4 linked regions of the Struthio camelus genome follow. The protein of the gene in region 1 interacts with the protein of each later gene in a pairwise test. Links are inferred from orthologs where the notes say so. Each region holds a gene or a part of one and is shown on either strand. Other genes may lie near its edges.

The links.
Region 2: the proteins of CYTH4 (region 1) and FOS interact in a two-hybrid assay, tested with the Homo sapiens proteins (2 studies listed by BioGRID and IntAct). The two-hybrid records come from large-scale screens. The link is inferred for Struthio camelus from reciprocal best matches to the Homo sapiens genes CYTH4 and FOS.
Region 3: the proteins of CYTH4 (region 1) and CNKSR1 interact in binary tests that used the Homo sapiens proteins (3 or more experiments, as listed by UniProt). The two-hybrid records come from large-scale screens. The link is inferred for Struthio camelus from reciprocal best matches to the Homo sapiens genes CYTH4 and CNKSR1.
Region 4: the proteins of CYTH4 (region 1) and IPCEF1 interact in binary tests that used the Homo sapiens proteins (3 or more experiments, as listed by UniProt). The link is inferred for Struthio camelus from reciprocal best matches to the Homo sapiens genes CYTH4 and IPCEF1.

The regions. Positions count from the first base shown.
Region 1 is NC_090942.1:59,011,164-59,018,846, forward strand, and holds the start of CYTH4 (cytohesin-4), read right to left. Parts: upstream 3,015-7,683; 5' UTR 2,586-3,014; coding exon 2,483-2,585; intron 2,164-2,482; coding exon 2,081-2,163; intron 50-2,080; exon of another isoform or gene 1-49. UniProt on the Homo sapiens protein: Promotes guanine-nucleotide exchange on ARF1 and ARF5. Promotes the activation of ARF factors through replacement of GDP with GTP.
Region 2 is NC_090946.1:57,949,205-57,956,707, reverse strand, and holds FOS (protein c-Fos), read right to left. Parts: upstream 3,006-7,503; 5' UTR 2,846-3,005; coding exon 2,705-2,845; intron 2,281-2,704; coding exon 2,038-2,280; intron 1,924-2,037; coding exon 1,816-1,923; intron 1,717-1,815; coding exon 1,108-1,716; 3' UTR 313-1,107; downstream 1-312. UniProt on the Homo sapiens protein: Nuclear phosphoprotein which forms a tight but non-covalently linked complex with the JUN/AP-1 transcription factor. In the heterodimer, FOS and JUN/AP-1 basic regions each seems to interact with symmetrical DNA half sites.
Region 3 is NC_090964.1:7,138,976-7,146,805, reverse strand, and holds the start of CNKSR1 (connector enhancer of kinase suppressor of ras 1), read left to right. Parts: upstream 1-4,817; 5' UTR 4,818-4,832; coding exon 4,833-4,884; intron 4,885-5,286; coding exon 5,287-5,471; intron 5,472-5,596; coding exon 5,597-5,799; intron 5,800-5,922; coding exon 5,923-6,007; intron 6,008-6,421; coding exon 6,422-6,463; intron 6,464-6,547; coding exon 6,548-6,667; intron 6,668-6,744; coding exon 6,745-6,804; intron 6,805-7,095; coding exon 7,096-7,164; intron 7,165-7,327; coding exon 7,328-7,447; intron 7,448-7,592; coding exon 7,593-7,672; intron 7,673-7,830. Other genes in the region: ZNF593 (zinc finger protein 593), read left to right, coding at 1-113, 402-464, 702-843. UniProt on the Homo sapiens protein: May function as an adapter protein or regulator of Ras signaling pathways.
Region 4 is NC_090944.1:79,650,825-79,658,086, reverse strand, and holds the start of IPCEF1 (interactor protein for cytohesin exchange factors 1), read right to left. Parts: upstream 3,007-7,262; 5' UTR 2,992-3,006; coding exon 2,934-2,991; intron 1-2,933. UniProt on the Homo sapiens protein: Enhances the promotion of guanine-nucleotide exchange by PSCD2 on ARF6 in a concentration-dependent manner.

The sequences.
Region 1 (7,683 bases):
GAAAGTCATGCTTATACAGCATGGAAGAGTGAGATAACTCAGCCCAGTGTCATTTCAACTCCTCAAAGGATGTCACATGTGAGACTCATTACATCATGCCCATTTCTTTCTGGCGTTTATTTTGCATCGCCCTGCTATGCATCCAGGAAAGCAGAAGTGGAACCAGTAACTGGCAGGCTGAAATAGACTTGAAGTGGCCAAGTTGTAAAACACAGAGTTTTTAATGCACCTATCAGTCAAACACCAGTGAGTAGAAATCTGTCTTTAAGTGCAGAAAAAAGAGGGATGAGGAAAAGAGGAGGAATCATTGTCAGACTGAGTCTTAATTGTAATATTCAGCTTCCTTTAGGTCCACGACAGACCATGGCCCTCTCTGTTAAATTATCTGGGTTATCAAGGAAACAAAGATTGCTGTGATCTCCTTGTCACGATCACTATGATCTGTTTCTTTCCATCCTGCTGTTCTGGACTCCTCGTTGTCTAGGAGCCAGAGTACATCACAGGTCTTTTCCAGGATCACACAGCACAGGCATACCAGAATGGTCAGAGGAAGACGGGCTGTTGCATCCCAGATATTGCTTCAACAAGGAGTGAAGACATGGCCACACTATGTACCCAGATACAGGAACTACGAAGTTCTCTGAAATCCCACCATTTAAAAGAGCTTCTGAACCTTGATTTTGCTTCCTGCTTTCCTTCTGTCTTGCTTCATCAGGCTGCCAGAGCTGAGACTGTTCCTTAATAAATTTTGATGGTGCACAAATGTAACAAATCCATGATCATAGCTCCTGAATTACAAATAATTATCATAGTTTTGTTGTTTCCCTCATTACTGTCTTTTGTCAGTTTAACAGGCAAGTTTAGACTCATTCTTTTCCCTCCTCTCTCCCTCTCCCATCCCACCAAGCCATTCCTCCAGGTCTTTGTGTTAAAGGATATTGCTAGATGATCTCTGAAGAAATCCACGCTTGGAAAATTTCTCTCTTGCTAGATGCCCCTTTACCTAAACTCATCCCTCTGAGCAATGAATGTCACATTGATCAATGGCTTTAGGGTTTAGGATATGCGTCCATGTAGTCTAACATCTTTTTTCTGGCTGTACTGGATAAAAAAAATGTAGTGTTCTTATTCACATATCCTGCTTTTTACAGTGCCCACTGTTCACTCTGGAAACTTAGTAGGTAACAACCACAGCCTATTTTGCAAGAAAGGATAAGACATCATTCTGATTTCTCAGCAAAGATGTTATGTCTGGAAGCCTGAGAAGCGATAGGTATTTGGCTCAATGTTCTCTCCTATGCAAGGACATGCTTCACCCATTTCCCAAGCATCTGAACGTCTTCATGCTGTCAGAAAAGCAGTGTACGTCCTATGATTCAGTTCAATAAGCTCTCTCAGATGGAAGCCCGCGTGCCATGGTGATGGAAAACAGAATGGAAACTGTACAGCACCATGCATGAATGTTATGTGGTATTACTGAGTGATTTTGAATATGTCACTTGCAGACTCTGGGAGTCAGTAGAGGAAATCTACAGGACTGCTAAAAGCAAAGAAGAAAAACAAGTTCAAACTTGGAAACTTGTGTGAGACGTCCTGCCGTCACACCTTTCTAAAGGGACAGAATCCTTCATGGAGGACTTGTTAGAGGTCCACAAAGCAAATAAAAGTTTGAAAAACATGGAGGGATGCAGTAGGTAACTAGGATATGTCATCATCAGGTAGTGAGCAATTAGAAAGAGCCGTAAATGCTGAGCCAGACCCCTGTCAGTAGAACTTAGTGAAGGTTCCTTAATGCTAAGTATGGGGTCCTAGCTCATCTCTGCTAATGAGTTGAGAAGCCTTTCTCAAATGCCCCATTGTGGTAGTTGATGACTCCTGTAGCAGAGTACCACAAGCTGGATGAATACTGATGGCACACATGCTGGGGCAGCCTGAATTTCAGAAGTCAAGCTGGATCGTGCCAAAGCAAATATCCCTTGTCCAGGAGCACTTTTGCATGGCCTGGACTGTTACTGAAGAGATTCCCTGGTGAACACATTTTTTAGAAGGCTAAGCAGTGAGGAGGAGGTAAGGTCCTTACCTTAATGTCCTTCAGAAGCTCCTCTCTGTGCTGCCTGATTGTCTCTATTTCAGCTTCTTCAGCCTCGCTCAAGTCAGATGGCTCTGGAAGAACAAACAGGTGCCTGTGAGAAGGGTACTGAGGCCCAGCACATCACAGGCAAAGCTGCCTCAGCCTCCCAATGCTCATCCTCTCCTTCTCCTAGGATCATGCCACAGTACCTCTTATATCCATGTTCCAGCCTCCCCTGCTATTGCAGCTACTGCACCTCAGATTTGCCCTGCAAATGATTCTCAGTCCAAAGCCAGCAACTCAGCCCACCATATCCCTCCTGCCTGACAGCCCTCTGATCTAACCCTGCAGCAATCTACCCTGCCTACTCAACAGATTTTACTCATTGCGAACACAGTGAAGAGGTCTCACCAAACGCTCTTTGGTGGTTTTCATGATAGTCACTTTTATGTACAAGATCTGGGGAACAGGAAGGCTGTGACCCAAATACTCCATCTAAATCCAAATGTCCCATGAAGAGCCACTAGCTTCATTGATTGATCTACCATAGCTAGAGACAGAAATGGCTTATGAGAGAGAATCAAGATTTTTCAAGTCTGAGAGCAGGATCTCGGGGATGAAAGCACTGCTGAAGGACTGTCTGTGGGAGACTGCTGTTCTGCTCTCCTCCCCCACTGTGGACTACAGACAATACAGAAATATGAGCAGGCTTCCTTGTAATGTACAGGAAGTCAAACATACAGCAGCAGAGCCAAGGAGACCACAGAATGATTCATAAAAGACCTTAAAGAATTGGGGTGACAGCAGTGCTACTAAATATAATCCAGCTGGAGCGCAGCATCTTCAGCAAGGAGAAAGAGGAGATTGCAGCCACAGAAAGGCAAAGCAGATGGTGAGCCACAGGAAAAACCAGGGGTTCACAGAAAGCTGAGAGTATGGCGCTCCTGGGAACTCACTGCAGAACTCACAGTCAAGGTCTTTGCTGTACCTAAACACTGAAAGACAAAGCTTCCTGGCAAGTCAGGTCAGGTCACTGGATGCCCTGTTCTACTGTTTTATAAGCTAAAATCCCCTGGGCCTCCCATCTTCCTGGAAAAAGGGGAAGTGGCACCAGCTGCCTTGGAAATACTCTTAGTGTGGATCTCACATGCAAAACAACTGCTATAAATATGAGTGGGGAGAAAAGGGGAAGGAACCAGCTAAGACAGATAAGAGGAAAGGGGACAAAGGCAGTCAGGTTGGAGCCTATATGCTTCTTTCCTGCCATACCCAAAACAGCTCAGAGAGACCTGTCATCCCTAATCCTAATTTTTCCCCCATCCTGGCTGGTTGGGTTTCTATGTGCTAACTCTGTGCTAGCACCTTTTCCAGACTGCAGCCTCTCGCTGACACTCTTACAGACATTTTCAAGCACTGCATTCCCCAGGGAGAGGCTGCCACACCCCTGGAGGGAAAGCGTCGGGCAAGTAAACATTGGGAAGTGTGGGCTGAGAAGGGCCCATATCCCCTCCTAGCTCTGCAAGGAACCTCCATGAAGAGCTGAAAAAACCTGACTGCTTCTGAAGCTGGTTGAGAAGGGAGGAAAAGTTGTGGCATCCAGCAGCTTGCAACAGCCAAATCTGTGGGCCAGAAATTAAAAACAAATAAACAAAACCCCATGCAGTGGCTTTGCTGCATGTTGGGCAGGTTGCTGACTCCCCCTTGAATGTCAGCCTGGCCTGTGAGCAGTGTTCAAGAAAACCTGGGCCTTTCAACTTACTTTTATGTCTCCCCCAGTTCTGGAGCCTGCAGGAGATGAGGCCAGCCTCTCCACCTCTCCAGCTTTATCTCCCTCACCCCCTGGGGCCTGGGAATTGTGGAATCACTGGAGTCATACCTTGTCAAATTATCACTAAGACATCTTGGCCTGTACTTGTTTCCACAAAAGCGCTGCAGCAGGACTCACCTGAGGAGTCTTCCCTTCCTCCATCCCATCAGCAAACTGAGTGGTGTGGCTGGCTGCTTTGCTTCAGTTGCTCTGTGTCTACTGAAGCAGCCTAAAGCATCTCAAAGAGACATGAGGATCCCAGAGGATATTGTCTCACTCACATGACCCCCGCTGAAACTGTAAATAACTCAGTCCCCCTTTCTCCTGAACATTTGAAAACCCCAACTGATTTACCTGCCCAGCCTGTCAGAATGAGGAAAGTATGGGGAGGGTGGGGGAGACAAAGCATATGAGTCTTAAGGAGAAGGGGAAGGAATCAAGGAATTAAAAAAAACAGAAGGGGTGAAAAAAGGAGGGAAAAAAAATACAAGGATCAAACTTCCAGAGCAATTTAGGTACCCAAAGGTGCAGAGAGGGTCCTTGTAAGGTTTTATAAGTAGCCTAAACAGCTTAAGTCCCTGGTTGCCTTGGAAAATAACTCTGAGGTCAGTTCTTGTAAATCACTCTGCTTCTCTAACAGAACTCCTGATGCTCTGTTCCAGGCTATTTTGAGGCTATTCATCAATGTTAGTGCATGCACTGGGGACTACAGTTAGGGGAAGTGAACACAGAAGTCGTGTTTGGGGAACCGTCCATAGAAAGTCACAGAAAGCAACAGAGGCGGGGGGCAAGCAGCAGATGAGATAATGGGAGCAGACTGCTTTGCCTTCCTTCCTTCTCCACTTTCAGAACAACCTGAATCAGCAGGAGAAGGAGATTTTCAGTGAAGTATTACCCTGACTCACTCCAGACTCTTGGAATGGCAGGGGGAATTCATCCCTACACAAGGGGACTGAGGCGGGGTTTCAGCACCATCAAAATCCTCCATACCACCAAGTTCCACTTCCTTTTAGGGTCAAATCAGGACACAGATGATGCATAGCCCATGTCAGGGTTCTCTGCACAGGGGGAAATTTCACCTACTGCTGAAGAACACCCTATGAAAACACCCACAGGTTTCAGGGGGATGCTGGCAGTCAAACACAACTCTGAAGAACACAACACATAAGCAGTGTGTTGTGATACTGGCTAGTACCCTCTCCGAAGTGGACTTGTGGCTGCTGGGAACCTAATTTCCAGAGAACAGATCTGGAGGGAGAGCATGAGAGCACCACACTTGTGGGACTCACACCTGCTCTGGAGGTTGCTTTTTCGCTCAGGGCAGACCCATATAGAAAGACCTGCCGCTTGCTCATAAATCACCCAGCCTTGTGTTTTTAGTGCTGGATCTCAACACAGAACAGAGATTTAAATTCCAATTGTGGTGTCTTAGGCCATCAGCCTCCTGATCTGGAGAGCAGGCTGGAGTTACCCAGAAGTCTAGGTGCTCGTGTGGCCAGCCAAGAGTAACTGCTTCCCATTGCAGTGGGCTGTGCAAAGCTGTCCAGGTGCAAAGTGAGGCCTTCAATTCCAAGCAAAAGTATACAAATGAGAAAGTAGCTTTTGGAGCATAGAGGTAAGTGGGCAGTACTTACAGGAGAACTGGAAGGATGGTCTGTAGAAGCAGCAGTGGAAGGTTACCAAGAATGACTGTCTGCAGCACTGTTATAGACCATCCATGTGCATCCACGAGCATGCCTACAGCATGACAGCAGAGGTTCAGCTGGCCCCTTTTCCAGTAAATAGTATTTACTATTTTGGCCACAAAAGACTTTAGGATCCTCCACCCAGGACAACACACAAGCAGACCAGCCTGTTGGGCACCACCTGCCTGGTTGAGCCTGCGTGATGGAAGAATTTTACCTGAAATTCCTTCTCTTTTTTGAATTGGGCTACAGGACTGTGTCATCTTCAGCACAGATGACCACCCACCCAGCCAGGTACCAGGGCAAGGACCTACCAGTTACTCAGTTCCCTCCAGCCCAATCTGTTTCTCTCCTGCAGCCACTCTACAGTTCTCTGCCAGCTTGTTCCAGAAGAAATTCAATAGTGAGCTCACACAGGTAGAAACTGCTCTTTCCTGCTATGTTGGGGAAAGGTGGGAAGAAGAGCTTATGTTGGCTATTGGTCCCCTTATCCCACATGACAACCTACAGCACTCAGGACAGTTTCCAACCACTTTAACCTGGGGCTCCCACCCCGCACATCCTGTGTTGTGATAGAGGGGTACAGGCTTGCTCCCCCAACCCCTGCTACCCAGCTCAGTGATTTGGCATATTGGCTTTGTGGCCTTACCCAGGCAGTCACTCAAGGGTCCTGAAGGAACCTGAAAGAGGAAGTCCACTGCAGGGAGAACAAACTCCCCATAGACATAGGGCTCAACTTCACCCAGCCTGAGCAGGCAGGTACCTAACAGGGGCGTTGCTTCTCTAGGTAGGAGAGACTCCAGGAAAAGTACAAGGAGTACACACACCCATGTCTTTCAGACAAATGATGCCACAACTGAGCAACTTGAAACACATCCAGGGCTCCAGAGTCCACTGGAAACCTGCATCTGTGGGGAGTCTTGGCTCCCAAGGTGGAGCAGCATCAAACAAGCCTACTTCCTAACCAGACTGTGAAGTGACAAGTTGGGATTGAACAAAGACACCAGTCAAAAATCTCTCTTCAGGCATTGCCTGTGTCCTGGCTCTGCCTCTAGCGAGAGCTGAGCAAAACCTCATCATCCCTGAGCAGGACCCCTTTGCACCACTGCAGTGCATAGTTTTAAGATATAATTAACTCAATAACACATAATTTTACTAGATGACTGTCAGACTATCCATTCTGAGAGCCCCAGTTTTTGTGGAAAATAGACCTTAAAATAAGCTCTGTACCGGCAGAGAAACATGAGATACCCACCTCCCTTCCCACCTCAGTTTGTCCTGCAGCAGCTTTCTTTACTTTTGCTTTCAGGCAGTGAGAGCCGGGTGCTGTGAAGACACCCACCTTCACCAACACACACAGCCAAATTCTGGCAAGGGCTCAGCTCCCATGAGTCCCACCAATTTCCCTGGCAGGCAAGCCCAGTGTGGGATTTGATCTGGCCTGTAGAAGCTCCTTTGCCATCTAGCTAGGAGCTAACAAAGCAGAGAACTGTTGCTGAAATTGAGCAGTGCTTTTTCCCTTCACTCTGTGCTACATATCTTATATGCAAAGGCCTGCTAGGATTGAGTCTCAGTGTCCTTGCAAAATGATCCCTTTTCTTTCTTGCTCCTGCTCAGCCTATATCCTCTCTGCTTTTCCTTTCCATTGCCTTTCATCAAGCATACACACACATAGCCAGAAGGGGGCTAGAAACAGTCTGTCAATTAGTATCCCTTGATTTGCTAAATCCCAATCACTTTATCCACCACCTGCCAAAGTAGGAAATAAAAACTGAGATCTCTCTCTGTTTCTCAGATGCAGCTCATCTCCTCCACCCACGCCTGCCTTTTGAGATTATTTTAAGACTAGGCAGGCCCACCTGCAGGTCATTTGGAAGTGCTAGAACCCCAATACAGTCATTTGCCTTAACATGGGGATAAGCAAGAGAGGATGCCACTGCCAAAAGCCTTGTAAGCCTGTCACACTGGGAAACTCAACTGCATGAGATGCTCTTGCAAAGGCAAAACAGCTCCTGGAGGCTGTAGGGAAACATTACTGAGGAGCTTGCAAACCATACCAGAGCTGCATGAAGAGAAGCCAAAGCTTATGGGCGCTCATCCCAAGTGCCACGTGTACACCG
Region 2 (7,503 bases), on another chromosome or scaffold:
GAAATGCAGAGGTACAAGGGCAGAGAAAGGACAGCAGGCCAAGGACAGGCATCCCCAGAGGGAGAGGGGGGATGGGTAAGGTCATAGAAGAGGAGATCACCCTGGCACCCATCCCAAGTGCCCCAGCCCTCTGACAGGGGGCAGACTTGTCCTTAAGGGCATTCCCACCCTTGCCCCTGGAGCACCCCATGCCTCAGACAGCTAGCACCAGGCTGCAGCTCATGAATCCCAGCCCACGTTACAGAGAAGGGAACCACTTCTGGGGGTCACAAGGAAGTGATGCAAGAAGGCAATGCAAGGACACCTCCAGCATTCAACTTAAATGCTTTTATTGACAATGTCTCTGAACAATAATAAGCAAACAATGCTTAAGTCTCATTCAAATTCACTTTCCACATGTCAAAAAAGACCTCAAGGTAGAAAAAAATAAAATAAAAATATAAATATCTGATAATCCATCTTAATAAATAAATTAAAAACACAATAAAAACGTTTTCATGGAAAACTTATGTCAGAACATTCAGACCACCTCAACAATGCATGATCAGTAAAGTTACAATGAACATCAATGTAGAACTACAGTACATGGATATAGCTATTTATCTACCTACTAGAAAATAAAATAGAGTCTCTTCCCCCCCCCCCCCACAGAAGATGGGTCATTGCTAAGTCATCAGAACACGATATTGCCAGGAACACAGTTATTGTTAATCAGCTGCACTAGATACGAGTTGGAGATACCCAGCACCAGGTTAAATCCCAATAATTTAAAACCAAGAGATTAATTAGTTAATGCTAGTGATACTAAGGAGGGGAGGGAGTCACCAACCCAGCCATGTGGGACATGCTACAGACTACCAGCTCTCATGGGTGGGCCATTGGGGACAAGACAAATTCCATGCGATTTGCTACATCTCTGGAAGAGGTACGAGGCCTCAGCACAGGGCGCTCTGCCAGGCCCCAGGGTGCCAGGCCAGACAGAGGGGGCAGCGGTGGTGGGGCCCTCCCCGGGCCTGGGGACCCGTGGGGCACAGCGGCAAGTCCATGGGGGCGCACGGGCAGGGGAGGGGGCCCGGCAGGTCAGTCAGTACAGGGGCCTTAGGCCACTCACAAGGCCAGCAGGGTGGGGGAGCTGAGAGAGTCGGACGAAGGCTCATTGCTGCTGCTGCCCTTCCGGTGTGCGGCAGCGCAGCTGGGGAAGGTGTCCGCCTCGGGGTAGGTGAAGACAAAGGTGGAGGTGTAGGTGCTGGGGCAGGGGGTGCAGGTCACCACGGGGGTGCAGAGGGGCTCCAGCTCCCCACTGGTCCCAGCACCCAGCGGCTCCCAGTCTGACGCATAGAAGGAGGAGGCCCCAGGCAGGTCCATGTCAGGCACCGAGCGGGAGGCCTCCCGTGGCCCTGTGGCAAAGAGCAGCTCATCGAAGGGCTCAGCCTTGAGCTCCAGCCCACCTCCGCTGGTCTCCTTCGGTGGTGCAGCCGGCAGGGCCTCAGCCAGCAGCGGCAGGGTAAAGGCTGCCTCCTCGGTGGCAGGGGGACTGGGGGCACCCAAGTCCAGCGCGGCAGCGGCTGCCAGCTCCTCGGAGAAGCGCAGCTCCTCGGGCATCTTGCAGGCAGGTCGGTGGGCTGCCAGGATGAACTCCAGCTTCTCCTTCTCCTTCAGCAGGTTGGCTATCTCTGCCTGCAGCGTGGATTTCTCCTCCTCCAGCTGGTCGGTCTCCTGCAGAGAGAGCGGGCTGTCAGCCAGGGCCAGCCTGGTGCCCCGACCACCCCCGGCCAGGCCGGGACCCCCCTGCCCCCCCGACCGGGCCACACTTACCGCCTGCAGCGTGTCCGTGAGCTCCCGCCGCCGGTTGCGGCACTTGGCCGCTGCCATCTTGTTCCTTTCCCGGCGGATCCTCCTCTTCTCCTCCTCCTCCGGGGACAGCTGCAGGCAGAGAGAGGCCGCTGAGTCGCGCTGCCAACCCCGTGCCCCGGCAGGGGCAGCCCCGCGGCCCGAGCCCCGGCCCCCCCCCCCGACCCGGCCCGACCCCCCGCTCACCTGCTCCACTTTGCCCCTGCGGCCGAGGCTCTGCCCGCGGGCTCCCGGCGCCTTGAGCGCGGCGGGCCGGGAGTAGGCGCCGGCGGGCGCCGCGACGCCGTAGGGGTGGCCGCGGCTCTGCGAGGGGGCCACCGAGGAGACGAGGGTGGGCTGCACCAGCCACTGCAGGTCGGGGCTGGTGGAGATGGCCGTCACCGTGGGCACGAAGCTGGCGCTGGACACCGCCAGGTCGGCGCAGAAGTCCTGCGGGGCGGGGGGGAGAGGGGGGCGGTGAGCGGGGCGGGCGGCAGCGCCCCGGGCCGCCTCCCGCAGCCGCCGGGGCCGCGCCGGCCGCGGCGCCGCGCTGCCATCACCCGGCTCCACATGAAAAGGAGCTGTTATAAATATCTCTGACGTCCGCGCTGACGCAGACGCCGCTCCGGAGTCTCCTCAATGAACTCGCGTTTTATCAATGAAGCCGCTTTACGCACCCGCTGCAGAGCGCAGCCCGGGCCACGGCTCCCCGCCCGCCCCGCCGCGGGGGCCACCCCGCCGCCGCCCCATGCGGCCCCGGCCCGGGGGCAGCCCGCCGCCGTCACGCCGCCCGGTCCCGGTCCCGGCCCGCGTCCCCCCCCCCCCCCCGCCGGGGTGTCCCACTCCTCCTCCCCCCCGCCGCCCCGGCCCTCACCTGCGGGTTGACAGGCGAGCCCATGCTGGAGAAGGAGTCCGCCGGCGACGGGTAGTAGGTGAGGCTGTCCCCGGCCGGAGAAGCGCTGCTGCAGCGGGAGGAAGGTGCCTCGTAGTCACCGGTGAAGCCCTGGTACATCATATCGGCTCGGCTCGAAGGGTGCACACCCGGGGCCGTGGGAGCGGAGTGTCCTCAGGCGGGAAGGAAAGAGGGAAGGAGATCGGGAAGGCCGGCTGCGCCTGTCCGTGCCGCCACCGCGTCGCTCCGGCTCCTGCTCCGCCACTCGGCTCGCTCTGCCCTGGAGTACCGCGCCGCGCCGCCCCTTTTATACCCTCCCGCCGTGTGAAAAAGGCCGACGTCACTGGGGACGCACCACCCGCGCCCGCGGGGGGGGCCGCCGGCCCCGCGCCGCCCCGCCCCGCCCCGGGGCCGGTCCGCCCGCTCCGCCCCCACCACCTCCCGCGGGGGGGCCGCGCCCAACGGCCCGGGGGGGGGCGGGCGGCCGCCGAGCGGCGCGGCGGGGGGAGGGGCGGACCGGCGGCGGGGCCACCCCCCCGCGCGCGTGCCGCGTGGTACCTCCCGCGCGGCGTGGTACCGCCAAGCTCGGGAACCCACTGACGCAGATATCCTTATATGGGATACATCCTGTGCAAGGGGGTGTGACTGACGGGAACCGCTCCAGGCTGCAGCCAAGTGCGGCGGCGGCGGCGGCGGCGGCGGGCGGCGCGCCCCGCGGGACTGGACTGGACGGGACGGGACGGGTCGGGTCGGGTCCCCGCCGGACCGCGCGCCCCCCGCGCTCCCGCTCGGCTAGAGGCGCCCGCACAGCGGGCTCGGCGGCACGCAAGGGCTCGGGGCGCAGGGCCGGGCCGGGCCGGGCAGCCGGAGCGGCAGTACTCCTCCGAGGAACACACGTCTACTTTTTTTATTGCAAATAAATCCCGGCGCTGGCATCGAGCGATTTCTGTCTGTAGCCCGGCGCTGGAATATTACAGGCTGTCCATGTGGAAAATCTAACCTACTCCATTTCCTGCAGCGAGGAAAATGTTACACTCATGTGGCATTATTTACTTTTCTATTATATATGCAGAGAAAGAGCCGAGAAGGAGGATAATGACACAGGGCGCTGGGAAGCCTTGCCAGGGGAGCCTGCGGGGCTGCAGGGCAAGACACGGCCCCCAGGAGGGCTGGGAGAGCTCGGGAGCAGCGCCCGGGGGTGCCGGGATGCCGCTGTACCCCCAGCGGGTGGGCAGGGGGCCACCAGGAAACCACCAGCAAGGAGCAATGGGTGAGGCTTGTCCTTTCCCCTAGTTTGGGTTTTGTTTTGATCCCGGTTGCAGCGAAGCCCGGAGACACCCACCCACGACGGGGATGTCAGGCAGCCCTGGCTCAGGTCAGGCAAAGCTGGGAGCCAGACCGCAGACTCGCCTTGCACGGGCGCCAAGAGATCGCGGCTATAGATAGTAACAGGGAAGCTGCAGCAGCAAGCATGTTTACAGCAACAAACAGAGCCTGCAGCGCAGTCTCCAAGCAGGAGCGTCACCCAGCCAGGCTGGGATCCTGCTGGCAGCCTCTCCCGCTCTTTGAGCTCATGGGCTAAATGCAGCGCCTGCTGCTGCTGCTGCTGCTGCCGCCGCCGCTGTTGCTGCGCGAGCAACCTCCGTTCTTAGAGATCTGGGCCACGGGGGCGGGAGAACTGGGCCAGCTGCTATTTCTGCGCTGCCCGTCAGAGCGGAGGGGACAGCCAAGGACTGCCGCGGCGCACGGCCCGCTCCGCTCGCCAGCAACGGCCCATGGGCTTCTCGCCACCTCTGCGCCAGCCCAGGGGCTGGTCCTGCTCCAGCCCAGCGGCTGGCCCCAGCCCGGCGCGGCGCCCAGGGCTGCACTCTCCGGCCAGCCTCGGCCCCGCGCTGCCGGCAAAGGGGTCCGTCCTCGCCGGTGAACTCGCAAAGCCCCGGCCTGGCCGTCCCTGCCCGCCGGCCACCACGGCCGCGTCCCCGCAGGGCCCAGGAGGGTGGCTCGGGCTGGAGAAAAGCCTGCAGCACAGTTCAAGGCCCCAAACATTTCCCAGCCACGCGTTGGGGACTGCTTGCTGAGCCCTGCTCCCGCCTGCAGGCAGCCCCGGGGTTCCCCCTGCCAAATCGCACCCGCAAAAGAAACTTCTGGAAACCAGGGGGAGGACCCGCTTTGCCAAGAGCCCAAAATATTTTGGTGGTGCCGATGCAAGCCGTCTGTTGCCGTCTCCGCTGGCGACCCAGCGCGCTCTGTTTGCACCAAACGGAAAGTGCACAGACGCTGCGCATCTCCAGCATGTGCCGACGGAGGCAAGGAAACAGAGAAACCAAAAACACATGACGTGGGTTTGTTGTTTGCTCCAAACGCGGGGCGCACACGGTTTTACCACACTGTCTGTGAAAAGAAAAGGAGGAAGTGAGCAGTACCGCAGGGACAAAACACAGTCAGAGCGCAACCCTCCTGCCCGGGTGACGGGGTTGCCCTTGCTCCCGTGCCGCAGCCTGACAGAGGCACTTTGCCTGGCTCCGCCAGCGGGGAACGAGCCGTCCTTTGGCCCGCTCGCAACAGCAGCACACAAGTACCATGAGCCCGCTGAGTACCGCAGTGCTGCTAAACTCGCACGAGCAGGGTCGGCAGGGCTTTGCCAGGCCCCCGGCACTCGGCCGGGGCTCGGCCCGACGCGCCGCTGCCGGGCTGGGACCCCCCCCCGCCCCCGGGGCGCGGGATCCCCCGCCCGCGCAGAGCCCCCTGCGCAGGCAGGGCTGCCGGCTGCTGCCTGGAAAGGCCCGCCGTTCCCACGTGCCCGGCGGGACGGAGAGGCCACGGCCACTGCAGCGCGAGCCGCGCAGCCACCGCCAACTCCCGGGTCAGGATAGGGCTGTGCCTCCGTCCGGCCGCTCACCAGGGGAAAGTTCACGGCAGCAGCGCGGCCCGCCGGCAGCCGGGCAACAGCTCACATGGATCCTCTCACCACAGCTAACCGCACCGAGCGCTTCCACGTTTCACTTTCCGGGCGCGCGCCGCGACAAACATGTGCCTCTTGCCAAACCTGGGGCTGCTGCTGGGGGGTCGGCAGTGCCGAGGGGCCCGCGGCGGAGCCACCGGCGGGGGGGGGGGGGGGGGGGGCACAGGGACATGGCCCTGGGCACTAACAAATAATTCCTTGCTCTCAAATGCTCCTCTGTGCTGAGAAGCCGGCGCAGCTCCCCGCGGCGGCGCAGACCTCGCAGGCAGCAGGGGCACTAGTGCAATTCCCCTCGCACAGGCGCACGCTGTTCGCCGTGTCCTGCGCCGCACACTCTCCCGGCACAGCGTGACGGGGCCCCTCCGCCTGCCTGGCCCCGCGGAGGCTTGCAGAGCGGGGCAGGGACCGCGGGGCTCTGGAGCGAGCAGCAGGGAGCAGTAGGAAAGGGGGCTGGTAAAGCAGTGGGGGGGGGGTGCCCCCTGCCTTGCTGTGGCAGAGGAGCAGGCGCTGGAGAAGGGCCCCGTCACGTCATCCGGGGGCTGAGCTGTGGCTTTCCTACGAACGCCACCTCGCCTGGGAGCTCCCGGGAGGGCAGCCTTCCCACCTTCATGGCTCTTTAAAGTGCAGAGCCTACCTATAGCCAAGTATAAATAGTAATTAATAATCACAGCAGCTGGGTGTGTGACAGGGACATCCTAAAGAACAAACACGGCGAGCGGAGACATCCTGGCATCTCGTGGTCGCGCAGCCACATGCCACCAGCTGCCAATTACCACCAATGATGCTGCCAGCGCCTCCCACCCGTTGTCACCGCGCTGCCTCTGGCTCTTGCCTGCACCGTGCTGGATGATGCCACCTCCCGCCCGGCCGGACCTGCCTCCATACGCTCACAACACCGCGCTTCGCACAGACACGGCAAGTCTCAAAGGCGGCTTCGCCCATCGCGGCACGTCCTGTACGCCCCTGACCCATGGGCCGGGCTGGCCTTGGGACCCTCACCTCTAGCAGCAGCGACCCCAAAGTGACGTTTTATAACCCAGAGCAGCGCAAGCACAGTGTCCTCCAGGCAACGCTCCTGCTGCCGGCACAGTCCCTTTTTACTGCTGGAGCCAAGCTGGCCTCTTCTCTCCCTGCGCCTCTAAGGTGACGAGCCCACCCCAGGGCGCTGCGCGTGCTATCATCTATCCTCCTAGGGCACCATCGGTCAGCCGCGAGAGGAGAGGAAACTACGCGAAACAAGGTGGCCCACGTGTTTGTAGAACTGCTCAGTATTTAGAGGTAAAACCTCAGAAATGAAGCAGGGCGAGGAAGCAAGCTCGCACGCTACGGTGAGAGGCAGCACGTTCAAGCCCCATGACAGACAGACTGACAGAGGTCTTCTTCAGCTAATGGAGCAAGATCCAAAGGAGGCGAGTGCAGCGGCGCTTCCCTCGCTGGAACCCCCCGAGGAGCGCGCAACAAAATCCGACACAAGCAGGAGTCAGCCTGGGCTTTCCATCGCACCCACGAACCTCACCGGCGCTTTCTGGGGGCGGCGGCGGCTGGGCCGTCCCGCTGGCCCCCTCCGCGCGAGCTGCTCTTCCCCGCAGGGCAGGCAGCCAACGCCAAGCTGGGCTGCAGGCTGGGCTGTGGCGAAGGGGCCCTTGCGTGCCCTGGGTGTGGGGATCCCGAAGGAAAGGGGACACGGGGCGGGGGGGCAGGAAGTGCTGAGATCAAGGAGGAGGAGACCGCTCTGCTTGGCTAAGGAGATGTTGTTGCGGGTGGAGAACAAAACAACAGAAGTCAAGGAAAGGGACAGGATGTTGAGGATTGTTTGGCT
Region 3 (7,830 bases), on another chromosome or scaffold:
GACCTGGACGAGATCCACGCGGATCTCAGGCCCGAGGTGGCCGCCAGGCTGCTGCGGCAGGAGCCCGACCCCGACCTGCCGGGCTGCGCCCAGTTCTACTGCCTGCACTGCGCGTGCGTCACGGGCCGGGGGGGGGTAACGGCCGAAACGGATAACGGCCGCGGGGGGTGGGGGGGGCCGGTCTGGGGCAGGGGTCGCTCTAACCCCGGTAGTTTGTCCCGGGAAGGGATGGAGGCCGCCCCAAGACGGGGTGGGCTGGTAGTGGGGGGGCTGCCGCTGGGGCCCGGGCAGCGGCTGCCTCACGCGAGGGCCCCTCAGAGGCGGCTGGGCTTGGCTGTCGCTCCCTGTCCCCCGCCCCGCTCCTGCCTCGGGCTCCTCTCACCCTCAGTCTCTCCCTGCAGGCGCTACTTCGTAGATCTGACCAGCATGAAGGAGCACTTCAGGTCCAAGGTGCACAAGAAAAGGTAAGTGTGGGGGGGGGCTTCTGTGGCACTGTGAGCCGCCCGTGTGGGTCCTCGTGCCATCCCCGGAGCTGCGCCTGTAGCCACAGGGCTCTGCCCTGTCTCCAGCTTTGGCAGGGTGAGGCTGGTGGTGTCAGTTCTGGGCCAGTTTGTACAGGAGTTTGGCTTGTTTTAAGGAGATTCAGGTGAACATCAGAACTCACATGGGTGGTTTAACAGTAATTTCTGCCTTCTTTTCAGGTTGAAACAGCTGAGCGAGGAGCCGTACACGCAGGAGGAGGCAGAGAGAGCGGCTGGAATGGGATCCTACATCCCCCCAAAGAAGGTAGAAGTACATACCCAACCGATCGATGAAGAAATCGAGATGGAGGCGTCCAGCTGAGTGCAGCGGACTAGAGGGCCAGGGCTGCCCTTATTACAGTGCTGCAAAAAAGGTGTTTTGTTACTGAGCCCTGTGAGGAAAACGAGCTCTCTTCCAGCCTCCCAGCAACGAAGCAACAGTTTTCCTGGCAGCTTTCCTTGCTGAAGAGCTAATGAGGAGAAGGCAGCCAGAGAGACCTTGGATGCCCTCGTTGGGGAGGGCGCTTGTGTACTATGTGCCTGACAGCAGACTGTGTTCCCCTTCCTGGGGAAGGGACAAGCAGCAGCTTGGTGTAAATGTTATATGGCTGTGCACTCATCTCTCTGGTTTTAGAGCAATTTTAGATACTTCTCCTTGGGTTAGAGGTTGACACCTCTAAGTCACCCATTAAAGTATGTTAATCAACAGGCTGGCAGTGTTGAATGCAGAATTCTTTGCTAGTGTGGTCCAGGCTCTGGCTTGGAGCAGTGCTGAGGTAGTGGGGACAGCTGCCCTTCTGGATTGAGGGTAGTCTCTCGATTTTAAACTTTTCCTGAACCTTGGAAGTGAAATATTCCCAGAGTGCCTATCAGTTTGTAGGAATGGCCTCGTCACAGTTCTCCTGCCCTGACAGGAAGGTAAAGCTCCCTCTGGTTTGTCTTCCGGTGAGGGGGATCCTAACGCGTTGGTGGAAGGTGCAGCACAGGAGCTTCTTTTGGGGGACTGTGTGCTGGAACGAACTGCTCTTCAAGCCCTTGGGTCTATCGCAAGCAGCTTTTTGTGTTTCTGGCCCTGCCTGATTTGAGCTCCCAGAGTGGGCCCTGATCCCCTGTGCGCTTTGAGGGGCAGGCGCTAATGTGTTCCCAGCAGGGACACCTCCGGGCTTCTGCCCACTAAAACGCAGTGCCTGGTGAGTGGTTTCATACCCCCAGAGAGCAGCGGCATGGGGCCGCGCACCCAGTGTGATCCAGTGCCTACCGCGTATCCCCCAGCCCAGTGCTGTTCTGTTCCTGCGCAGGGATCCTGCTTCAGCCGCCCAGGCTGTCGGGTGCTCCCGCCCCTGCTAGGGCAGCGCCTCCCTGCTCGGCCTCTCTCTGCTATGCGACTCCAATGTTTGCAACGCTTCCGTGTTGCAATGGCACTGACTGCCGTAAATTCCTGCAGAACAGGTTTGACTGATACAACTGTGGCACTAAAACAACAGATGAAAGGTTTGTCCCCCCTGCTGAGCCACAGGAGGAGGGAGCGCTCAGCTGTAGCAGCAGAAAGGCAGCGAGACAGTGCAGCTTTGCTCAGAAGGAAAAGATTTATTTGCATGCAGACTGACCAGATTTCTTCCCCCCAGGGTTATCGAGGCAATTAAACCTAGTTCTCTAGTTGGTATCTAAACACTCTCTGCTAGGGGCAGCTTTGCTCCATGCAGCAGCTCGGAGCAGTGTGGGGTTTGGTGTGCAAGAGGGAGAGGTGGGAAGGTCCTGGTGGGGAGATGGGGCATCTGCCCCCTGCTCGCAGGCAGCAATTCTCCGATGGGAGCCAACCCTGTGTCCTCGTTTCCACTCCCAGCCTCTTGCTCGGAGGCTGATCTTGGTCCCAGCCCTCCCAGCTCTGTTGTTATCTAACAGCGCTTTGCGCTGACCTCTTTTCTGCCGGCTGGTGACGTGGGGCTGCTGGCTGAGCCGCCCGGGGAGGGAGGAGCGGCTGTTAATTGGAGCTGGCCTGACTGCAGAGGCAGCACGTTCCCCTGCGCCGGTTCGGGGAGGGAGCCCTGTGCGGCTGCCAGCGAGGCGCAAGGGCTGCGTGGGCCCCTCTCCCGGGAGCAGGGTGGGGAGAGGGGGGCCAATGCCTCACCCAGGCCCTCCTTTCCATGCGTCTCTGTTCACTGAGGCTCGGTTGTCTCATGGTGGCAGGATCCTGGCTTCTCGGCAGCGGCTCAGTTTAGGGCTCAGCTTGCCACTGCCTGAAATTGGGTCCCTGGGCTGCGCCTGGCAGCTCTTGAGCTGGAAGGTGACCCTGGCTGCCAGCTCGCAGCGTCGGTTTGTGTTGTTGGGGAATCGGAGTCAGAATCGGGTTGGCTTTTCCATCCTTTGTCCTAGCTCCCAAAAGGGGGACAAACGTGTCCCCTCAGCTCCAGGGCAACAAAAGGCCAAGGCAGGGAGGGGAAGGGCAGGATGCAGCGTAAGCGGGCTACGAAGGGGCTATGAGGCGAGAGTGAGTCAGGAGACGCATCCGGCAGCTCCCCGTAGCCAGGGCTTGGTGAGCGGAGCGGGTCCGGCAGCTCCCGTGCCACCAGCTTGGGGCTCGGCTGGAGAGAGCGGGGAGGGGTGCGATGTCGCTGGAGCCCGGGACTGTTCCCTGGGCCAGGCAGCGCCCGCCAGCTCCCCGGCCTCACGGCTCCGGGGAGGCTTTGGCGGGGCCGGCCATCCGCCGGGCGCTGTAGTAGGAGAGGCTCAGCCCCACGGCGGCCAGCAGCAGGGCCAGGTGATTCACCAGCCGGTCCCTCGGCTCAGCCTCCCGCCACCCTGCCAGCTGCATCTGCGGGAGGAGAGGAGAGCGCTGCGAGACCCGAAACCACCCCGGGGACGGGACTCGGTGGCCCTGGGAGCGGGGACAGGCCCTGCTCCGCTCCGGCACGCGCTGGGCTAGCCCGGGGGCTGCGCGAAGACACGCGTCTCCGGGTACGCTGACCACGGCCGTGCCCTGAATGTCCTGGCTGCGCCCAGAAGAAACGCGGAGGGATTTAAGGGAGAAAGATGCAGTTTAGCCAGGGGCGCGAGGGTGCTCTCGGGCTGGGCTTTCTGCCCGCTCGCTGGGCTCTGCCTTCGGTGGCAGCACCCAACGCTGCACCCTCGCAGGCAGCTCCAGCCCTCTTTGGGGCCGGGAGCTGGGGTACGGCCGGGCATCGCTCGCGGCGGCAGACAGGGCTCGCGGGCAGCACGGTGCCGGGGGGTCCCCACGTGCCCAGCCCCAGCCCAGCTCGACCCTTACCTGGAGCAGGCGAAAATACCCCGGGGTTAAGCGTCTCGGGCGGATGATCATGGTGCGGCGGGGAAGGGCGATGGGCAGCTGCGGGAGGAAGAGGAGAGCGGCGAGGCAGGAGGAAAGGCCCGCGGCTGGCATGGCCCCGCACGGAGATCAGCTGGATCGGGGGCCCCCCGGCTCCGTCGTCCGGGAACGGGGTCGGGCCGCGCGTGGCCCCGGCAGTGGGACCCCCCCTGCCGCCGAGTCCCTACCATGGGTCCAGCCCTGACCCGAGCCGCGGCCGGGGGCCGCCAGCCCTGCGCCCTGGCTCCGAAATCGCCGTGCGGCCGCCCAGCGCGGCGCGGCCGCCCATCAGCAGCTGTCAGCAGCGATCAGCGCGCGCTGCTCCCCCAAGCGCACGGCCGGGCGAGGGGGGGACGGCCCCGCCAAGGCACCTTCCGGGAGAGGCCAGCTCCCGGCCAGCCAGAGCGGGGTCTGGGGCTCGGCGGAGCTGGCCGCGGGGCCCCGGCGTGTGCCGCCCTGTGCCTCGGTTTCCCCACCTGCGAAGGAAGGGGGGGGGGAAATCGCCCCCGGCGGGGGTCCCACCCTGGGAGCTGACGGCCTTCCCCTCCGTGCTGCCTGCCTGGGGGAAACCAAGGCACGGCGGGCCGGGAGCTGGGGGGAGGCGCGTGCCCGCGGCCCTCCGTCTCCCACCCGGCAGCGCAGGACGTGGCCGCAGACACCGTCCCCGGCGGTTCAGGCCCAGCGCGGGGGGGAAATAAGTCAGCGGGGCCGCAGGGAGGAGAGCGGGCCGGGGAAACTGAGGCAGCGCGCGTCGGCGCTCGCCCCGCAGCGGGGAAACCGAGGCCCGGGTGCCGGGGCGGGGGGGGGTCTCGGTGGGCCGGGGCTCTCCCCGCTCCGTCGGGGCCGGAGGGGCGAGCGGAGCAGGCCGGGGTGGGGGATGCTGGGCGGCGGGGGCGGGCTGCGCGGCGGAGTGGCGGCCGGGCGCACCAATCGGGCCGCCCTTACCTGGCGCAGGTGTGCCGGCTGCCGCCGGGGCCGCGGCGGCGGCCATGGAGCCCGTCGGCACCTGGAGCCCCGCGCAGGCGGCCGCCTGGCTCCGAGGTGAGCGGCCCCCGGCCGGGCCACCGCCGTCCCCCACCCCGGCGGGGACCTGGGGGCGGCTGCGGGGAGGCAGCGAAGGGGACGGTGGTGGGGGGACGTGCCTGCTGGGGGGGGGGTCACGGCGCTGGCCCTTCTCACCCCCCGGAGCGAGTGGGGCGCGCGGGGTGCCGCTTCCCAACCTTGGGGGGGGGCCTCGTGCCCCCCCCCCCAACGCTGCAGCCGGGCTGCGGTGCCGGATGGGCTGAGACCCGGCAGACTCATTCCACGGTGAGGCGGTGCCCAGCATCCGGCTCGCCCCGGCTGCGCCCGCGGGGATTTACCGCCGCTCCCGCCAGCGTCACCCGGCGAAGGGGCCGTCGGGGCGGGGGGACCCGCGGTGTGTCCCCCCTGCCGCCCCGTCAGCTCCAGGGCAACGCGTCCCCGGGGCAGGCCTGGACGCGGCGGTGCAGGGGTACCCCTTCGAGGCCTGGGGGCTGGCCGGGGCCGAGGTGCTGCGGCTGTCGGCGGGCGCGCTGGAGGCGCTGGGCGTGCGGCGCGTGGGCCACCAGGAGCTGCTGCTGGAGGCCGTGGAGCAGCTGCGGGCGCTGGTGAGTGCCGCCGGCCCCCGCTCTCCCCGGGGCGTCCCCGCTCTCCCGCGCCGGGGCCGGATGCGGGCAGCATCCTCGAGCATCGCCCGCTTCCCTGCCGCCCCGGCGCCTCTCTCCTGCGCCAGGACGAGGAGCTGGCGAGCACCAGCCTGCGGACGCTGGCGGAGAAGCTGCGGGCGCTGGCGGGCCGGGCGCAGGCCCTGGTGCTGGGCGAGCAGCCCGCCGGGGCGGGCGCCGGGGCCGAGCCGCGGCCGCCCTCCCTCGACCTGCTGGCCTGCGTCGTCGAGCTCGTCGGGGCCGCCAAGGAGCTCTTCTCGTGGCTCAACAGGTCGGGGCCGGGAGGGCGGGCAGCCCTTTGCACCGTCGCTGGCCCCCCTGGGGCACCCAGGGGTGCTGGGCACCCTCCGCTCGGCCCTGATCCGTCTGTCTGTCTCCCTCTCGTGCCCTCCAGGTACCTCTTCTCCACCCTGAACGACTACTCGGCCAGCCGCGACATCGTCTTCCTCTGCACCGAGCTGGCGGAGGCGCTGCAGGAGGTGAGTGCCGCGGGCGGCTGCCCTGCCCTGAGGCCCCGGTGATGGGCATGAGCCGGGCTTTCCCGAATCCGAAGCCTGTGTGTGCTGGAGGCAGCCGTGCAAGCGCCAGGGCTCCCAGCGTTATGGGGGATGCGGCACAGGGGGTCGCAGGGCCCGTCCCCCCCTGCCCCAGGAGCCTGGTTTTCCCGCGGGGACCCTGGCTGGGACGGTGCCGGCAGGGCCCAGACTGCGCCGGGAGAGCGGCTCCGGTGGGGTCCGGGGAGGAGGAAGAGGAGACCTGGCGATCTCTCACCCTGCTGGTGTTGGGGGGGCTTCGGCTACCTGTAGGGACCCCCAGGCCGGACCCCTTGGGTGCTGTCTGGAGCCAGCGCTGCCTGCGGTGGCCCTTGTGCTCAGCCCCTTGCCTCCTCCTAGGACTGCCCAGCGGCCGAGAGGGATGGCCGGATCCTGACGATCGTAAGTGCTGGCCGGGGGCAGCCGGGGGGGGGGGGGGCTGGCAGCACCGTCGCCCCCCGCTCAGCCTGGTTCTGTCGCCCCCAGTGCCAGCACATCGTGGGCATCTGCGAGAGCATCGTGGGCTGCAGCCCCGGGCAGCTGCTGGACCGCACGGCCGTGCTGCAGCGCGTGGGGCTGGCGCCGGCTCTGCCCACCGCCACGCTGGTGAGTGCCCTGGTGGCCCCGGCCCCGGATCTGCCCGCCGCCCCGCTCACGGCTCCCTTCCCCGTCCCCCTCCGCAGGACCTGGAGATCACATCCACCAGCTCCGGCCTGCACTTCGTATCTGGGACCCCCTCGGAGGTGAGTTGGGCGCTGCTGAGCCCGTGCAACTCGTCTCACGAGTGAGCACAGGCCAGGCTGCAGCGGGAACCCCGCTCCGCGCCGTGTTTCCACCAGCCCCTGGGCTCCCTCCTGCCGGCCGCCCGGCATGGCCCAAAAGGTCAGGCCGGCTGGTTAATGTTTAAGCCGGGCTTTGCAAAGCCCCGCTGCTTTCCCCCAGCCGCAGCTCAGCTGGCGGTGCGAGCGCCTCGGGCGCTTCGCGGGGGGCAGCCACCGCGGCGCCCCATCCCGCTGCCTCCCCTCTGCCCCCAGGCGCTGGCCGTGCGCGGCCCCCCCATCCTGCCCGGGGACGAGATCGTGCAGGTCAACGAGCAGGTCGTGGTGAGTGCGGCGGAGTCCGTCTCCCGGAGCGGCTGCTTTGCGGGATGCAGGGATGCATCCCCGGAGGAGCTGCTGGCAACGTGTCCTCTGCACGGCGGGGGGACGGGGGGCGAGCGCAGGGCAGGCGGCCGCTGGTCCCACCGGTGGCCGGTGCCCTTTGCAGGTGGGCTGGACGCCCGTGAACCTGGCAAAGAAGCTGCTGGAGAAGCCGAGCGGGGCCACGCTGGTGCTGAAGAAGGTGCCCCCCAGCCTGCCCGGCTCCCCCCAGGCTGCCAGGCAGCAGGTGAGCGATCCCAGTGCCCCTAGTAGAGCCCCAGCGCCAGACTGGGCAGCAGCGGGAGGTAGGCAGGGGTGCTGGGAGCATCTCAAAGCCCCGGGGCACCGTCCCCAAGCGGGACGTGGGCTGGGAGTGACGCACTGCCCCGCAGGCAGCCCGCTCGGATGCGGCGGATCCCGCCGGCGCCAGGAGCAGCGAGCGCCCCGGCAGCCCCGCGTCGCTGAGCTCCAGGTGAGCCCCGGGCCTGGTGCCCCGCGCGCCCCGGCCCTGCGCAGCCAGCGGGTGTTCGGGAGCATCCGCTCCGCCCGGGGTGGAAAACGCGGGCTGGGAGCACCGCGACGGAGAGTAACGTTCACGCGAGCGTCCCCGGAAGCTGCCGAGAGTCTTAA
Region 4 (7,262 bases), on another chromosome or scaffold:
AAAGAAAGAGGCTTATGTAATAGTCCTAAATCATCACGTTACCACTAACTGAGGTTCTTGCAACAATGGAGGGGGAAAAAAAAATAAACACGGTAATTGTAAGCTCATAATTGTACTTCTGGTTACTAGAAATCAGCTTAGTCTGACAGAATCTTACTAGTAGCTACTAATTAATGATCAAGTCAGTTACTTAACTGATTAATTAACTATGCAAATCAACTATCTTACTTGTAAAAGGAGATTCTTGATCTGCAGATTCTCTCTCACAAACTGTCTGGCCAGGAAGGTCAGATGTTAAGCTAGAGCTGTCCCACAGGGCAGAGACAAACAGACACAGAGGCAGTTTTCATATTCACCTACGACTGTCCCACCCTGATGAGGTTACAAGCCATCATTCTTGGTCCCTCTGACTTTGTGTCTCAAAATGCAGCTGAAACTACAGATTCACCATTAATTTTACAAACAATAAGTGCATTAAAGTGTATTTGTAAGTCTTACTTGTCAGCATATACCTTCAACCTGGGCCATAATGGATATATTTGAGAACCTTAAAAAACAAAAACACCAAAAAAGAACACTTCCCCCCAAATTAGCCTTTGAAAAGCCACAAGAATTCTTTTAGCAGGCCTAGCAGAAAGAAAAATGCATATGTCACATGATAACACCATTGGTTATAACCTTATTTTCAAATGAATTTAAAACGATTCAATCCCCTCACCAGCAAGCAATTAAAAAAGAAGACTTTTGATTGTTTGGGAAAAGGCCAGGAACGGCTGGAACAAAGTTCACTGCTTCTATCTCCAAGACAGAAAGGGCCTGGAGACATCACCCTGGCTGGATTACAGCCAGATCCTGTTAATCCAGCAGGGAAGCCCAGAGAGTGGCAGGTTACAAGCATTGACAGCTCTGAGAAAGTAGTTAAAGGAGCCCAGACTTGCTGCCTTCCAGAGGAGGGAGGCTGGAAAGAAGGAATGGGTTCAAGAGAAGAGAGCTGCTACACAACTGTCTCTCAGGTCTTCTCTCAGACCAAAGAAAATCAATCAGAATGGTATGCTTAAGTGCAGTGTTTTTACCCTAAACGTGACTTTGCTTTCAGACTCCTCATAGCGTTGAGCTGACTCTCAGGGCTGCTCGGTTGATAGAGGCCCTTGTAAAGCCAAAGCCCAGGACGTGGGGAGCATTTTTGGAAAAGGTAAGTGTAATAGTGAAGTTACTCCTGCCTCCTAGCTAGCTCTTTGGCTGTGCCTGAAACTACTGCACAATAAAAGCAGACAATGTTAAGAAATTGGCTGCTGAAATGGATGAACTGCTAACAAAATGAAGAGGTAAAGAAATGCTCCAGGTCTAAGAGACTACTCCCCAGGAGTCTTGCTCTGTCCCAAAGACGCACAGTTCTTGTTAGCCCAGAAGATCAAACACAGAGGTGAGAGGGGTGAGGGGGAAGACCCAGGTCTGTAGACCGTCCTGAGACCATGGTCTGAGGGGTTTCTCTTGAAGCAAGTCCCTTACAAAAAAGAAGCAAGGGGAAGGGGGCATTCCCTCTTCTATTTTTTTCAGATCAGCCATTTAGCAAATGCACCTTGGAGGGAACACTGCAAGTTCCATCATCAGAAGAGAGAACAAGAGGAATGTTTCTTCTCTAGTAGAAAGGAGCAGGACTGCTCCTCTAATTCAAGCTAAAATATCAGCAGCGTCATAGGAGAAGGCTCACAACTTTTTGCAGTGTCAGAAATCAGGCATTTTTTTGAAACACTGCAAACATGGATCATTGTAGTGAGAGGAAACTGAAGCATCCTCACTGGAATTCAGTTCTGACCAACATTTGCTGTCAAAGCATTGCATAATGTTTTAGATACCCAAGGCAAAATAAAAATTGAAGGAACCACAGCAATAGGCTGTTGTGAAACATTTGGTACATTTGGAGGTTCGGAAGAAAATCAGCCAGGGTACAGGGGAGGGGAAATTATTTTCATTTCATCAGAATGAGCCTGATATACTAGATGGAGATCAACATGGAGCCTTCCCAGCTGACAGGGCTCCCTCAGACACCTGGCATCCTTCAGGATCCTTCCACAAGAGGCCACTTGCAAGGCCAAGAGACTGAAAACTTCAGCTCTCCTGCTCCATGCAGACCTGCAGAGAGGCTGCCTGGAAAGAAGCATGGACGTATTGGAGCCCGAGCATCAGGACCACCACCTGGCCTGGCACAATTCAGGAATCCAGCTCTGCCACCTGGGATTTCATGGACAAACTGGCTTTGCAGTTTCCTCCTCCCTGCACATTGATATTTTCCTTTTGCAGAATTTTTACACTTTGTTTTCTATCCATGTTGGAACGAAAAACAGCTTCAGAGGCTCAAAATCCCCCGTGAGTTGGGACTGCCATTTCCCACACGCTCTTGCTCACTGCACTTTTGCTCAAGCCAGGGCTCCAACGAGAGGCTGAACCTGTAACTACATATTGGCAGAGCCATCTAGTGGTCGGAAGTAATTTACTTTAAGGCAGCCGAGCTAAGACCACAGCAAAAGCCAACCAATGCCTCCTATGTTTACCGTTGCCCTCCAGAGCACTGCGGGTAGAGGCTTTGTCTATGTCAAAAAAATAGGGTTGCTCAAGCAGTATTGTCAGCTGCTGCCCTGACAAGAGATGCCATAAGGATGTCCAATTCCATTAAGTCATGATATTAGGCAGGTCACAACTGTCGGTGCAAAGCGTCAGGGTAACAGCAGCATCCTGTTGGGATATGCATTTGAGAAGAAAAAGGTATTAAAAACTTAATACTGCTTGCACTCTATGATTTTCTCTCTATATCTTCTCCCCTTTTCTTCCACCCAGGCAGTATTCTTTACACTGGCAGTTCTACAAAAGAGACTAGCACACTTGCAGAGAAATGTCAAGAGAACAGCTTCTAAAAGGTAAAGCAAAATCATTACACTGATTATGAGGATGAAACAAGGAAGAAGTAACGGGGAGAACTGCCTCTTCTTCCATTGAGGATTTCCACTTCACGTTCAGAAAAGTTCACAAGCAGCCGAAGCCTTGAGAGTGCTGTTTGATTCCTCATTAAACAACTGGGAGCATTAAAAAAAATTATCTTCCTTCCTTCCTTTACAGTACATGAAGTGCATATATAGTAATCAAATGTTATCTCTCTCTAATAAAGCATTCTTAGAAAGGGGAAGTAAAGCAAGGTCAAACCGTCTTGACAGGTTGCACTTGAGGACAGTGATACAGCTCCTGCGCTACAATGAAGTCCATTCAGCCACAGAAATTTGCATGCGGTCTTCTTTTCTTCATGGTGAAATGCATTTCTCCAGCAAAAAGAGAACAGAGAAAACTGGACTCCCCAAATCGGAGCTTCTCCAGAGCTAAGTGCTGTTCTGAGTATTTATGAATCAGATCAGATGCGAACTGCTGAGAAGAAAAATAATAACCTCTAAGATACAGTGAGAAAATACTCTTAGAAAGCCCTGGGTTTGCCCTGAGAATCTAGTTTAATCAGCAGTTAATTCCTCACTTCTAGACTATTGATTTCAGTTATGGGTTTCATTTTCTTTTAATCACATCTAATTGAGATAATAAAGTTTCATTTAATTTTCAGTATGTGAGATTTACTAGAAGAAAGAGATATGACAAGTATTTGGTACACATGCAGCTTTAAGCAACTTCACATTAGCGGCAAAGACATTTTTCCCCTACCACAGCACTCACTGAGTACTACGTTAATAACATAGTCTCTTTATGACATTAACTTGCGGCTTCACAGAGTTGGGGAGAAAATTAGACCGTGACAGACTTGTTAGAAAGGTACAGAGAAAGACAAGCAAAAAAAAACCATACTGCTTCCTTGTTTCTTCGGTGTCATCCAGGAAGAGTAAATCACAGGGTTTGTCCTATTTGTTTGGTAGTTATTACTATTGACAGAGCACTGAGCGAGTGCAGTTCCTGAAGCAGATAAAATCAGTTGGGTTTCAATAATAGAAAAACCTTCAAAGATTACCTGAAGTGCTGAACACCCTTTAAAAATTTGGTCCATTTTCGGACATATCCCTTTCCCAGGCAGCGTCCAAAATCACCAGCCACTTCTGCAATTTTAGTTTGTAGCTTTCCAACTGTCCAGTTAATGGCTGAGAAGAAGAAAGGGAATTTTTCCTTTTCTCCTTCTTGAAATTACAACTTGTCATAATTTTTTTCACTAGTGTTTGTGGTGAGATTTTTAAATTCTCATTTCTTGATAACATCTTTGCATGAAGATTTCAGTTTTCACTGGAAAATAAAAGAATCAAAGCCCCGTACTTGCTAAGAAAAAAATTATAATCCAGAAGGATTCTGAAGACAAGCTCTAAAAATCTGTAGAGCCAAGAGTTGGCTTGTGCTTCCCTTAGATCCTTAGATTTTGAGAGCACATGGCTCACAAGTTATTGTAAGCAGTGCTCATATAAGGAGATTTACAATCAAAATTCAGTTGCCTTATTACGAGGTGGTCTTTAACTCCTATGTCCAAACTGTGATTAGCGTTTTCCATTTTTACCTGTTTGCAGTGAGTATGAGAAAAAAGCCTGCTACACCTCTTAATCACAAAAAGAGCATAGTAAGAAATATTTATGAGAAGTTCCTTAACCGTCCATCACTGTGAAAAGGGTATCATGTCCAAGATGGGCAGGGTAACAAGATGGTAGACCCTGGGAGCGGAAATAAAACTTAGAAAAAATTATTACTGATTGCAAAAGATGGCTCTAATACTTCTCTGCAGCCATCAGCACCTCTGAACAGTCAGAATTTACTATGATTCTTGCTTCTTAAACCACTATAGCTTTTGCCAGAATATCCACACCCCAAAAAAATCATTAAAATGACTGCAAATGCAGATCTAAAGACATTAAACACTTGCTTCTTGAATCTTGGGCAACTGAGCACTTTCTCTTATTCCTTTTCTGTGGGATTGCCCTCACTGTAGAAAAATCAGAAAGTAAAGCAGTGAACGTTTTTCTAAACTAGAAGGTAACATGTGGAAACTAGCTGCAGCAATAAACTATAATTATCCTTTCACAAGAACAATTTCCAGTTTTTCCAAGAAGAACTGGCTTTTTTGATGTCATGAGCCATACCTCAGCAAACTTTTTTCCCTTAAATTCCATCATATTATGGCACTCCCCAGAGTTAATACAGCACACAATACAATCTCATTCTCCCTCTCTCACTCTCCCTCCCCCCCTTTTTTTTTTGTAAAGGAGACAATTTTTCACTAGTTTTATTTACCATCTTCTCTCTCTTCTCTCTGTTTTTCTTCTAAATTAGTCTCAGGTGTTTATGTGTTTTATATTTGGTTCCCTGTGTTCTGATACAGAGTTCCTCAACTTTTTTCAAATCTGTTTTTATACAAATATCTTTTGAGATTTATTTAAGAAAAGTAAATAACCTCAAAACTGTTTAGACTTCCCAGTGATAACAAATACAAAATAAAATCAATATTATCAACTATTTCATGGCAGTGCATAGCTCACAGAAATCACAACCAGAGTAATTAGTCCTATTTTGATGATCTTCTTCAAAATACAATAGCATGTATCCATTTTAATTGTTTCTTCAATCTTCCTTCTCATGTTGCATGCCATTCTCGCAACAAAAACAACATGGTAGTACAAGTAACTAATGAGCAGCAAATGTCTGGAGAAAAGCTACCCCACACTCAATATTTCTCATTGCAGCACAGCTGTAATTTATACCAGTTAAAGAGTCTAAGGCTAATACAAGGACTTTAAATACCCATCATCTAAATTATCTCCATTTAAGTCAACTCACTTGATGACACAACTTTCAACACACACTTTTTCTAATATGCGGAACGGGGTATTTGTCCTCGTAGCTGATCTCTCCTGCTTTCCTCAGATAAATGGCACTATGCATCCTGTTTCTCTTGGCATTTATATAGCTTCTCATGTCTTCTGACCAGATATTATAGTTTAGCTCATCTGCTTTGCAAGCATTATCGAGGACAATAAGGTTATATTAGTCACGTCTTGTTAAAGCACAGGGTCATTGAAAGACCCGGATACAACTCATCTAAGCACATCAGTGACTGAACACAAGTGAATTACTATCTCATGATGAGCAATGATGCTTTTCAGACATATGGACATGACTAGAAACACCTAAATGACAACAAAGCTCTGGGGGAGCATCTGAAAGCAAAAGTCCTGCCCAATACCAGCAAACTGCTCTTTCTGGAGGAGACCTGTTAATATACATTCCCTAAAATCTAACAGTACCCTAGAAGAAAATATAAAAGTGAATAAGATACGCTTCGGCATCACACTGAAGTGACTTTTACACGCATAAATTGCTCCCATCAACTAATGTTAGTGGGAGTTTTAGTACAGTAAAAAGTTAGCACCATAATCATGCCCACAGCAAAGATTTCTTATTTTCAAGCCATAATTATTTCTACTTTGTAGCTTTCTCTTCCACAGAGACTCTCAGGAAAAACAATCTTTTCATTCAGGGAAAATCCTCCCACATCCTAGAAATACTAAAACATGTAAAAAATAACAAACTTCAGTTAAAAAAACTCATAGCTTTGAAGGAATTAAAAGTTTTCTTTTCTTACCATGCAAAAATGAGGGGAACTGTTTTATCTAAAAACATAGACAAATTAGACAAAAATAAAGTTTCGCGGTTGTATTGTCCAACAACATAATTTCCTTTTTCTCTGCATTGAAAACTTTGCTGAAACCTGCATCCTAGCACGGGGTGACAAAAACATTAAAGTGGTGTCAAGTCATAATATCACAGCTGAAGTTCATTGTGTCCTGAATTAGTATTATTTCTACTTCAAATTCTATGATAGCCTTTAACTCAAAATTATAATAATTTTTATGTAATGGAACAATAATTTAAAACAGAGCCAAATACATAAGAGGCTTGGAACAAGAAACTCAGTTCTGTACTATATAGACTGTAAAAGCACTTTTAACCATCAGTCCGTGATTTGTTGAGATCAATGAGGAAGAAAAAACCCAAGCTACTCCAAACAAGAAAAACAAATTACTTCCAAGAAAAGGACTTGCTCTCAAAACTTTTTATATTTGCCACTCCAGAGTTTAAGGTCCAATTCTTCGTAGAAGAGAGCCAGCTGATCACAAATATAGAGAAGTATAAAGAAATGTAGAAAGGTTGAATTCAAGGTAGCCAAGGCTTAAACTCCACAGAGCTCTGTAAGTCAGATCAGCAGGCTGAACAGCTGTTAAAAATGGATTTCAGTC